Linked DNA regions of Caenorhabditis elegans. The protein of the gene in region 1 interacts with the protein of each later gene in a pairwise test. Each region holds a gene or a part of one and is shown in the gene's direction. Other genes may lie near its edges.

Evidence for each region.
Region 2: the proteins of F13H8.6 (region 1) and rgs-2 interact in a two-hybrid assay, tested with the Caenorhabditis elegans proteins (one large-scale study listed by BioGRID).

Annotation. Positions count from the first base shown.
Region 1 is NC_003280.10:6,285,103-6,289,031, reverse strand, and holds the start of F13H8.6 (DUF4238 domain-containing protein), read left to right. Parts: upstream 1-2,066; 5' UTR 2,067-2,162; coding exon 2,163-2,344; intron 2,345-3,094; coding exon 3,095-3,158; intron 3,159-3,291; coding exon 3,292-3,519; intron 3,520-3,568; coding exon 3,569-3,685; intron 3,686-3,736; coding exon 3,737-3,864; intron 3,865-3,913; coding exon 3,914-3,929. Other genes in the region: upb-1 (Beta-ureidopropionase), read left to right, coding at 41-233, 348-521.
Region 2 is NC_003284.9:12,710,566-12,714,494, forward strand, and holds the start of rgs-2 (RGS domain-containing protein), read left to right. Parts: upstream 1-2,087; 5' UTR 2,088-2,095; coding exon 2,096-2,178; intron 2,179-3,929. UniProt on the Caenorhabditis elegans protein: Weakly inhibits G protein signaling in nervous system, interacting preferentially with the G(O) subfamily member goa-1. In vitro, it acts as a GTPase activator of goa-1.

The DNA of each region.
Region 1 (3,929 bases):
GTTGATTCAATATTGAAACATTAAAAACATGGAAATTTAGTGAACCACTCTGGGGTATCGAAGCACGAAATGCTGCCATTGCCAATCACGTCTTCACAGTTGGAATTAACCGCGTGGGCACTGAAGTCTTCCCAAATGAATTTACCAGTGGAAATGGGCAACCAGCGCACAAAGACTTCGGTCACTTTTATGGATCCAGTTATATTGCTGCTCCTGATGGTAGCCGTACTCCAGTGAGTTTATTGAGGTTAAACTTCAACAATGAGTAACTGCTCAAAAATTTTTATAACTGTTTCTCTCTTTTAAAAAAAAATAGCTTGAACAAATCTGATACATATTTTTTTCAGGCATTATCTCGTGTTCGTGAGGGAGTTCTCATTGCTGAACTCGACTTAAATCTGTGTCGTCAATGCAAGGATGCTTGGGGATTCAGAATGACAAACCGTCTCGACATGTACGCTCAAAAGATTACGGAAGTTTCCAACCCGGACTATCGTCCAGACATCAGAAGAGAGCAATGAATCAGTTTTGTTGTTGACATTTCAATTTATGGATGATTTTTCTTTGTTTTCTATCACCTGATTATTATTTGAATCGTAAATAAATGTAATTCAATTTAGCTCATGATTTGAACTAATGAGGTGAATAGTAGTAGATCAGAAGAGGGAGATGACTCAACTTGTTGTACTTGATAAACTTTAAAAGAAGCAATCATGTGGAAGACTGAAGCTTTATAAACTTACTTACTAGTTAGGTGATATATACTTCAGCTCTTTTGCTTTTTAAAAGAAGTTTTCTTTAGATATTTGATAAGATATTTATTCTAGTGATAATATTTTTGCTGTCGTTACTGAGGCAACATATAGAGAAACTAGGCACCAATATTATAATCACTAGTTTCTGATAACCGCCCATCTCATGTTATTTTCCCTTCTTCTTGAGAATTTTTCCTAGTTCGCAGTAAACCAAAATTATTTTGGAATTTTCGTACTACTTTTGAATAACTATTAGATACTACTTTAAAGGTTTTGTTTTGTATTTTGAGATTTTGTATGCGGTATTGTTAATTTTTGTCCCATACCAGACTACTCTGATTGCCGTTCATCCAAGAAAAATGCGTTTATCTACAATTTTTAAGTAAAATATCAATTATTATAAGATGACTGTTTTTCATGAAAATTGAGAGAAACTCAGCAAGCGGAACGGCTTGACCAATTAAAAATACGATTTTTTATAATGAAGATGTTCGTAAGATTTTAGTGTTTAAAAACATCTATGTTCACTCTGTCTTTATTGGGAAGTGGAGTAATCCACGACTGGATTACCGGTTACAGTCCCAGGCTAGAGCATGACTTGAATTATAGCCCAGTGAGGTACCACCAGGCAATGTACCTGACTCCCAGATCCGCAGTCTATAGAACGGATCGTCCCTTTTTTAAGGTCGCCCTGTCAAATCTAAGGAAGTAGACATATTTGTTCACAATGAGCAACAGTTAAAATGAAATAAAAATTTGGATTTTGAAATGTTGTGTGACTAACTCACTCATAAACTAAATTTAACTATTATGGAAATGAAGAATATTTAGTACTTTTGTTTTGTTCAACAGATTTTTTTTCCATAATTCCATAATTCAGAAATTCATTTTTCTTTTAGCGATTTCAAATCTTTCAATTTACAGTTGTAGATTAGGCTACTTTTTATTTCCGACTTTATTGTATTCATTTTGTATTCAATCGAGGTGTCTAGAATTATGGTTTCATTGAACCCAATTTTTTTTTGTTTTTTCCGTTTTGTATAGTATCAGACACTACTATTTTCATGGTGCTGTGGCAGATCCCCAGTGTAAATTTCCATCTGATTACTACAACTTGTATTGTTTGATGTTTTCAGTTGTTTCACAAATCATTCATATTCATATCTTTACAATTAAGAAGTTCTTAAACTCATATCTTTACAATTAAGAAGTTCTTAAACACATTTTTGATATCTCTGGTGGCTCGAGGCAACTTGGCTCCTCCTTCCTACTTTTTGTGCATTATTCTTCTTTTTTCTCGAATTCTCATTCAAATTACCAGTTTGCCTTACTTTATATATGCTCTGCACAGAGCTCCCTTTCTTAAATTCTTTTTCTTCATATTTATAACTTGCTTAAATTCAAATAATGGACAGCATATCTCGTCGTGCAAGATTTCGTTTTGGCAAGATGCTCAATTCTGCTGCTGCTGTTATCAATCAATCAACACTTCGTCGTCGATCTCATTTTGCCCGTTCTGCTACAACCAACAGCTATGGACCGATTCCTATTGACGGTGATAGTTCTATTCCGCTTATGTATTCTTCTCAGTAAGTTTTAAGAAATTTTTCATGATAGTTTGGTGTTTTTTTTTCAAATTTATAAACTTTAAATAATCAAAAACAAACGTATTGCTCAGCGTTTAGAAAGAATATATATAACTTCAAAAGCCTGTAGTCGTGTTGTAGAAATAATTTTTCACCGTTAGACTTCTGTTTAATTAATTTTCAAAAAACTAAAGCACATCTAATCAACACTCTAAAGTTATTTGAGTTTTGTTCAAAATGTGTTTCAACCACACGACATTCATTTTCATGTAAAACCCTGTTTCAATAGGTTTTAAAAATTTCAATTCAATCTAAAAAGTTATTTGCATGAATAGTCTTGAAAATTATAACTTAAGTTTTTTTCAATTTCCATGCTTTTTCTGTGAGTCTCTTGTGTGCGTTTTTTATAGGAAAAGTTCCCATGGAAAGTGTTTAGCAACGGGGGAAAATGTACATGCCAACACACTTTGAAACATATTCTTCACTCGATTTGTTTCTACTAAAACATTCTACGTATCTCGTTTTTTTTCATATTGTCCAATATATAATTTAAGTTTTTCTAATAATAAAACTCTCATCTAATGATTACTTCCCGTAATTATAGATATAGAGGCACAGTAATTTTTTGCATAAATTATGGCAGTGTTTAAAAATAAATGTGAAGTTCAAAAGTTGAAAATTGTGACGAATAAATTTTTAAACGCGTCCCATAAATATGATAAAAACGCCAGTACTCATTGAAAATAATTTCAGAACAAATTCAACAGGCTCAAACAATTCAATCGTCTCTATTCCAGGCCTCGGGAACGTTTCAAATGTAGGTAATTTAATCTTTGGCTATAACTGGTACAACATTATGAAAAAATAAAAATGCAGTAAGAGAAAAAAAATGACAGCGGTTTTTTTAAAACTGCTTATGAAGTTATTAAAATGCGTTGAGAAATTTGCAGCTGATCCAAGTCAGATCCCTCGAACAATCAATGGAAAACGATTTAAACGCGATAACTTTGAGTGAGATTAATGGAAAAGGAGAAATTGTTCCTTATATCAAACCAGAAACGGATCAATCAAAGATATTGGCTGGATTCATAAAAATAGCAGAGTACATGTACATTACGGATAATCGAGAGTTATTGGACAGAGATGAGTTGGCATCTGCTGGAATAAGTCATGTCGTTGTAAGAAATTTAAGGCCTTTATTTTAGAATTAAACTATTTTATTTTCAGAGTCTCGGAAACGATTTGCCACTGGCTGTAAGTGTCACTAGACGGGATGGGCATCTTGTAATGATTCCTCTCACTTTGTTTCATGAAACTGATGTGGATCCAGTTCAACCGTTTAAGGTAACATTTTGAGCTTCTAAACAGAAGATATTCAAAATATTTTTTATTCAGAACCTCTCTGCAAAGTTTGACAACGTCAACTTGTTCATTGAGAACGCTCGTAAAATATCTCAAAAAGTTGTCATCTACAGTAAAAATCGCCAATGGGCATACTTTGTAGCGGCTCAGTATAACGTGGAGTATGATTTTTACAAATTATTTTCAGTATTAGACTTTTATCATTTTCAGTTACTACGAGTTGGAG
Region 2 (3,929 bases), on another chromosome or scaffold:
AAGACAATGTTTGTGGTAAAGAAAAGTTGTGGGAAAAAAAGGTTACGAAGAGAAGTGATTCTTAAGTTAAAGTGCACGAGGCAACCTAATTATTTTGTGCTCAAAAACAGAAAACAGTTTTACAATGGTTTAGTTAAAATGTCGGCCTTGATTTATCTTTCAAAAAAAAAACATACTCCTAAATATTTTTTAATCAACTTTATTGTAAAAATAATATCACCGAAGTAAAATAAAGAGCCGAAAAAAAAAAGGTATAAATCCCTTTCGCACTACCAAATGAACGTATTTTCAAAGATCCTATAACAAATGTTCGCTAACCCTCGTTCCAGGCACTGTTTTTCTTACATTGATCGCTTAGAAGTTTTTCAATTCAATTAAACATACCATTCTCATATCCAATTTCATCGAGGGATCAGTGATCAAATCTTTTTTGATCCACTATTATTGTTTAGCATTGTTCATTCAAATGTCAATATTGCCCTCGTATTTTTTTTTCATGTCGTTGCAAAATCCAGTACATATTAATTGCGTAGGTGATTTGAGAATAAAAGTTCATTTTTTTGCGGAGCATTTGAGATGGTTCGAAAAACAACTGATTCTGTGGAAAATGTTCAGTGAAGTAATTTTTAACATCAGAAAGATTCATTAGCTGTTTGAAAATAAGAATGATTAGTACGTGAGAGTACTGTAGGGTTACTGTAAACACTAGGAACACTAGGTGTTCTGTACTCAAATTTCCACCAATTTTTTTTATTGACATTATTAAATTGTTCAACGTATTCAAATTGAAAACTTAACAGTTCCAGCCCTAAATTCGTTTCAATTGGATGATTTCCTATACATTAGTGCCAAAAACCACAACCCATTAGACTGCATCCGTGAAATGTGGTGTGCTAGCTCAATTTATAAATTGAATGCAAGTATTTTGGTCTTCAGTGAAATGCTAATTTGGAAAGTATGTTTTTCATTTTAACATTTGCTTTTAGGTGTTTAAGTGAACATTGAAAAAACGTATAAACTAACAAAAAACTGACTTTCTCAGTTTTTTTTTTGCTTTTTTTTCTTCTCTTGTGTGGAAAGCCAACAAACCAATTGGTTTTGTTTCAAGTGCCCAAACATGTTGTGTTTTTTTAAACTTTGTAGCTGTGGTCAAACTTGACAAAAGGGCTAACATGTTTTCTCATAAAAATAATAAATTAATTAAAACAATTAAAATCTTGTTTTTATGCTAATTTTTTTGATTTGGAAGTAATGTGGAATCTAGTAGTAGGAAAATCCTATAATTTCGAATAACTTTGTCTTAAATTTCCGCAGTAAAAGTTTAATATTTATGTTTACATATTTCTGGAATGGGAAATCAGAACAACATATTTTATGCAACAATAATCATATTCCATCCCACACACTTTCATTCGCAATCGCCTTAAACGGTTTCACACATGACAAAATGTTTTTGGAAACTATTCTGGTTTTTTTGTATATTTGCTTTGAAAAAAAAGTGAAAATTTTCAGTTTCTTCCTGAAATGTAGAGATTTGTAAAATGTTGCTAATTTTTTTGTTAATAATTAAGGAATTTTAATTTTACAAAAGTAATGTGCTAAAGCAGGGGTGATCCATTTTTAAATTGAAACATTACAGTTGTTTAATCTAAGCAAATTAAAAAAATATATACTAAATCCAAATTGTGTTTTTATAATAGTTTTAACTTTCAACACTTGAAAATCTGAAAAAGTTGTTCTTTTGCCAAATGTCAAACGGATCGCATGACACGAGACCTCCAGAGCGTCAGTGGCCCCAGTATCTTTTGAATTTTCACTCATCATCCATATATTCATTAAATATAGTGAGAGAATGAAGGGAAAAGGGAAAGAAAAAAGAAAGAAGTGGTTCTAGTATTATGTATGCGTGTGTCCGCGAGGCATCGATATATTCCGCCACAGCCACAAGTGTCCCATCCTCTTCTTCTCATCAAGGTTTTTTCTTCAATGAGGTTCTATTCATTTTCTAAACTTTTTCCTTTTTGAACTTTTTTCTTCCTTTAAATTCATGTTTTGTTTGAAGTTTATTTTACCGGATAAACTTTCAGAGGCAAACATGTCATGTGCAATAAGTTGTTTTGGAAAAATCATCGTTTGTGTCACTCACAATTCTTCACCAAGCGGTAAACCGTATGTCAGGTTAGTTGAGTTTTGCGTTGAATTTAATTGTTTGAGTAGGTCATAACCAAATTTTCGTTAATTTGACACTTGTATAAGCTTGTTTTTTTAAGACAACAAGATTTATATAGCATTTTCTATGTTAATTCTGTGTCAGAGAATGTTAATTAAGCAGTAATTAGCCCCAAAGAGAAAAACTTAGGTGATAAATTAAAACCTTTAGAAACACACTTCAGAATCAAAAGTTCAAATTAATTTCATTCTTTTTATGGTCCCTCAATTTCGTTCCGCAACGTGAACTTTGCGAAATATTATAAAAAACTATGTCTCCCCTTTATGTTTGCTCCGACCTCTTTTTTTTTCTTTTTATTCCGTCTCCAATCATGCAGTTCTCATTAAATCTGATTCACTGCAAGAAAAAAGTGCGTATGCTCAGGCGTGCTCAGTAGCTCACTTGCCTTCCTCACATGAGGAAATAATGAAGAGTAGCAGTAGAAGAAGCGGATGGAAATTGAAATGAGAATGAGAGGACAGGAGACGGAAAAGAAAATGTATTCGATTAACCAAATGTTACGTGACAAGGACAAATATTCCATTATTTCTCTAGTCAACAGCCAAAAAATTAACGACAGTTGTAATGCAACACTTCAAAAAATTAACAACAAAAGGTTAAAAATTAAAAACTTTGAAAAAACCGCATAACATTGTGATTATTGTAATATTAACTAATGCCGTGTATACTTCAAATTGTATTTTTCAAAAATGAAAAGAAAGCAAATGAGTGGCAAGTTCAGCTTGCCCAAATACTCTTTATTAGTGCTGCACTTTATTGCTAAACTTTGCTGCTCATATTATGGTTCTCTTCTTTTTTATAATACAACAAAAACAGAATAAATAATGCTCAATTATTTTTCTATAGTTGCCTAATTAACTGCTTAATGATATCTTCAAAATGGACCGAAGTATATCTTTCCAAAATGGAGCAATGGAGCGCAGCACTGATCGAGACCATAGGGTAGTAATTTGGAAATTCAAAAAGTTGCGAATATATACAATTATACCATGTTTGTTATCAATCAAAGGAGAGCTTCGTAATTCACTGCCCATTCCCGACGCTGTTGCCTTCTGATAGTCATTTATTTCAAGTTAGGCGCAGCAGCATGCTGCGCCAAAATACACATTCATAAGTAATTATAGGATAGGTGGTTGCTAGAGAAATCTAAATTAGAGGTTTGTCATACTCCCCGTATGGCTGCGTCAAGGATTCCAAAATTTATAACTGAAACAACAGTGATACAGAAGGCTTTGCAAAATCTTCTCTGATAGTTAGACAATTTCGATATGAGGATTCAAATTCATACAACAATCATCTACATAGATAAATAAATAAAATGAATCTAAGCCAAGTTGCCCTGACAAAGTCTTCTGAAACAGGTGTCATATCCTAGACAGTCATCCTTGCATACGTCAATGGTAACTGAGTTCTATTCTGCGTTTTATCTTTCTCATTTTCATTGTTGACTACATTTGCAAGTAAGAAAGCGCTGGCTCTCCAACTTCTCCACCCAGTCATTAGAAGAGAAGCGATCATGTAGATTTGATGACATGACCAACATTCTTGCTGTAATTGCAGCTTCGGAAGAAGAAAAAAAAACTTCGAACTTGAAAATCTTGTTTCTTCTATTTCTCGTCTCTGTTTTCTTTCCGAAGTTCTTACTCAAAACTCTATTCCACGGTTCTACGTAAACTTCTGAAGAATACAAAAATGAGTG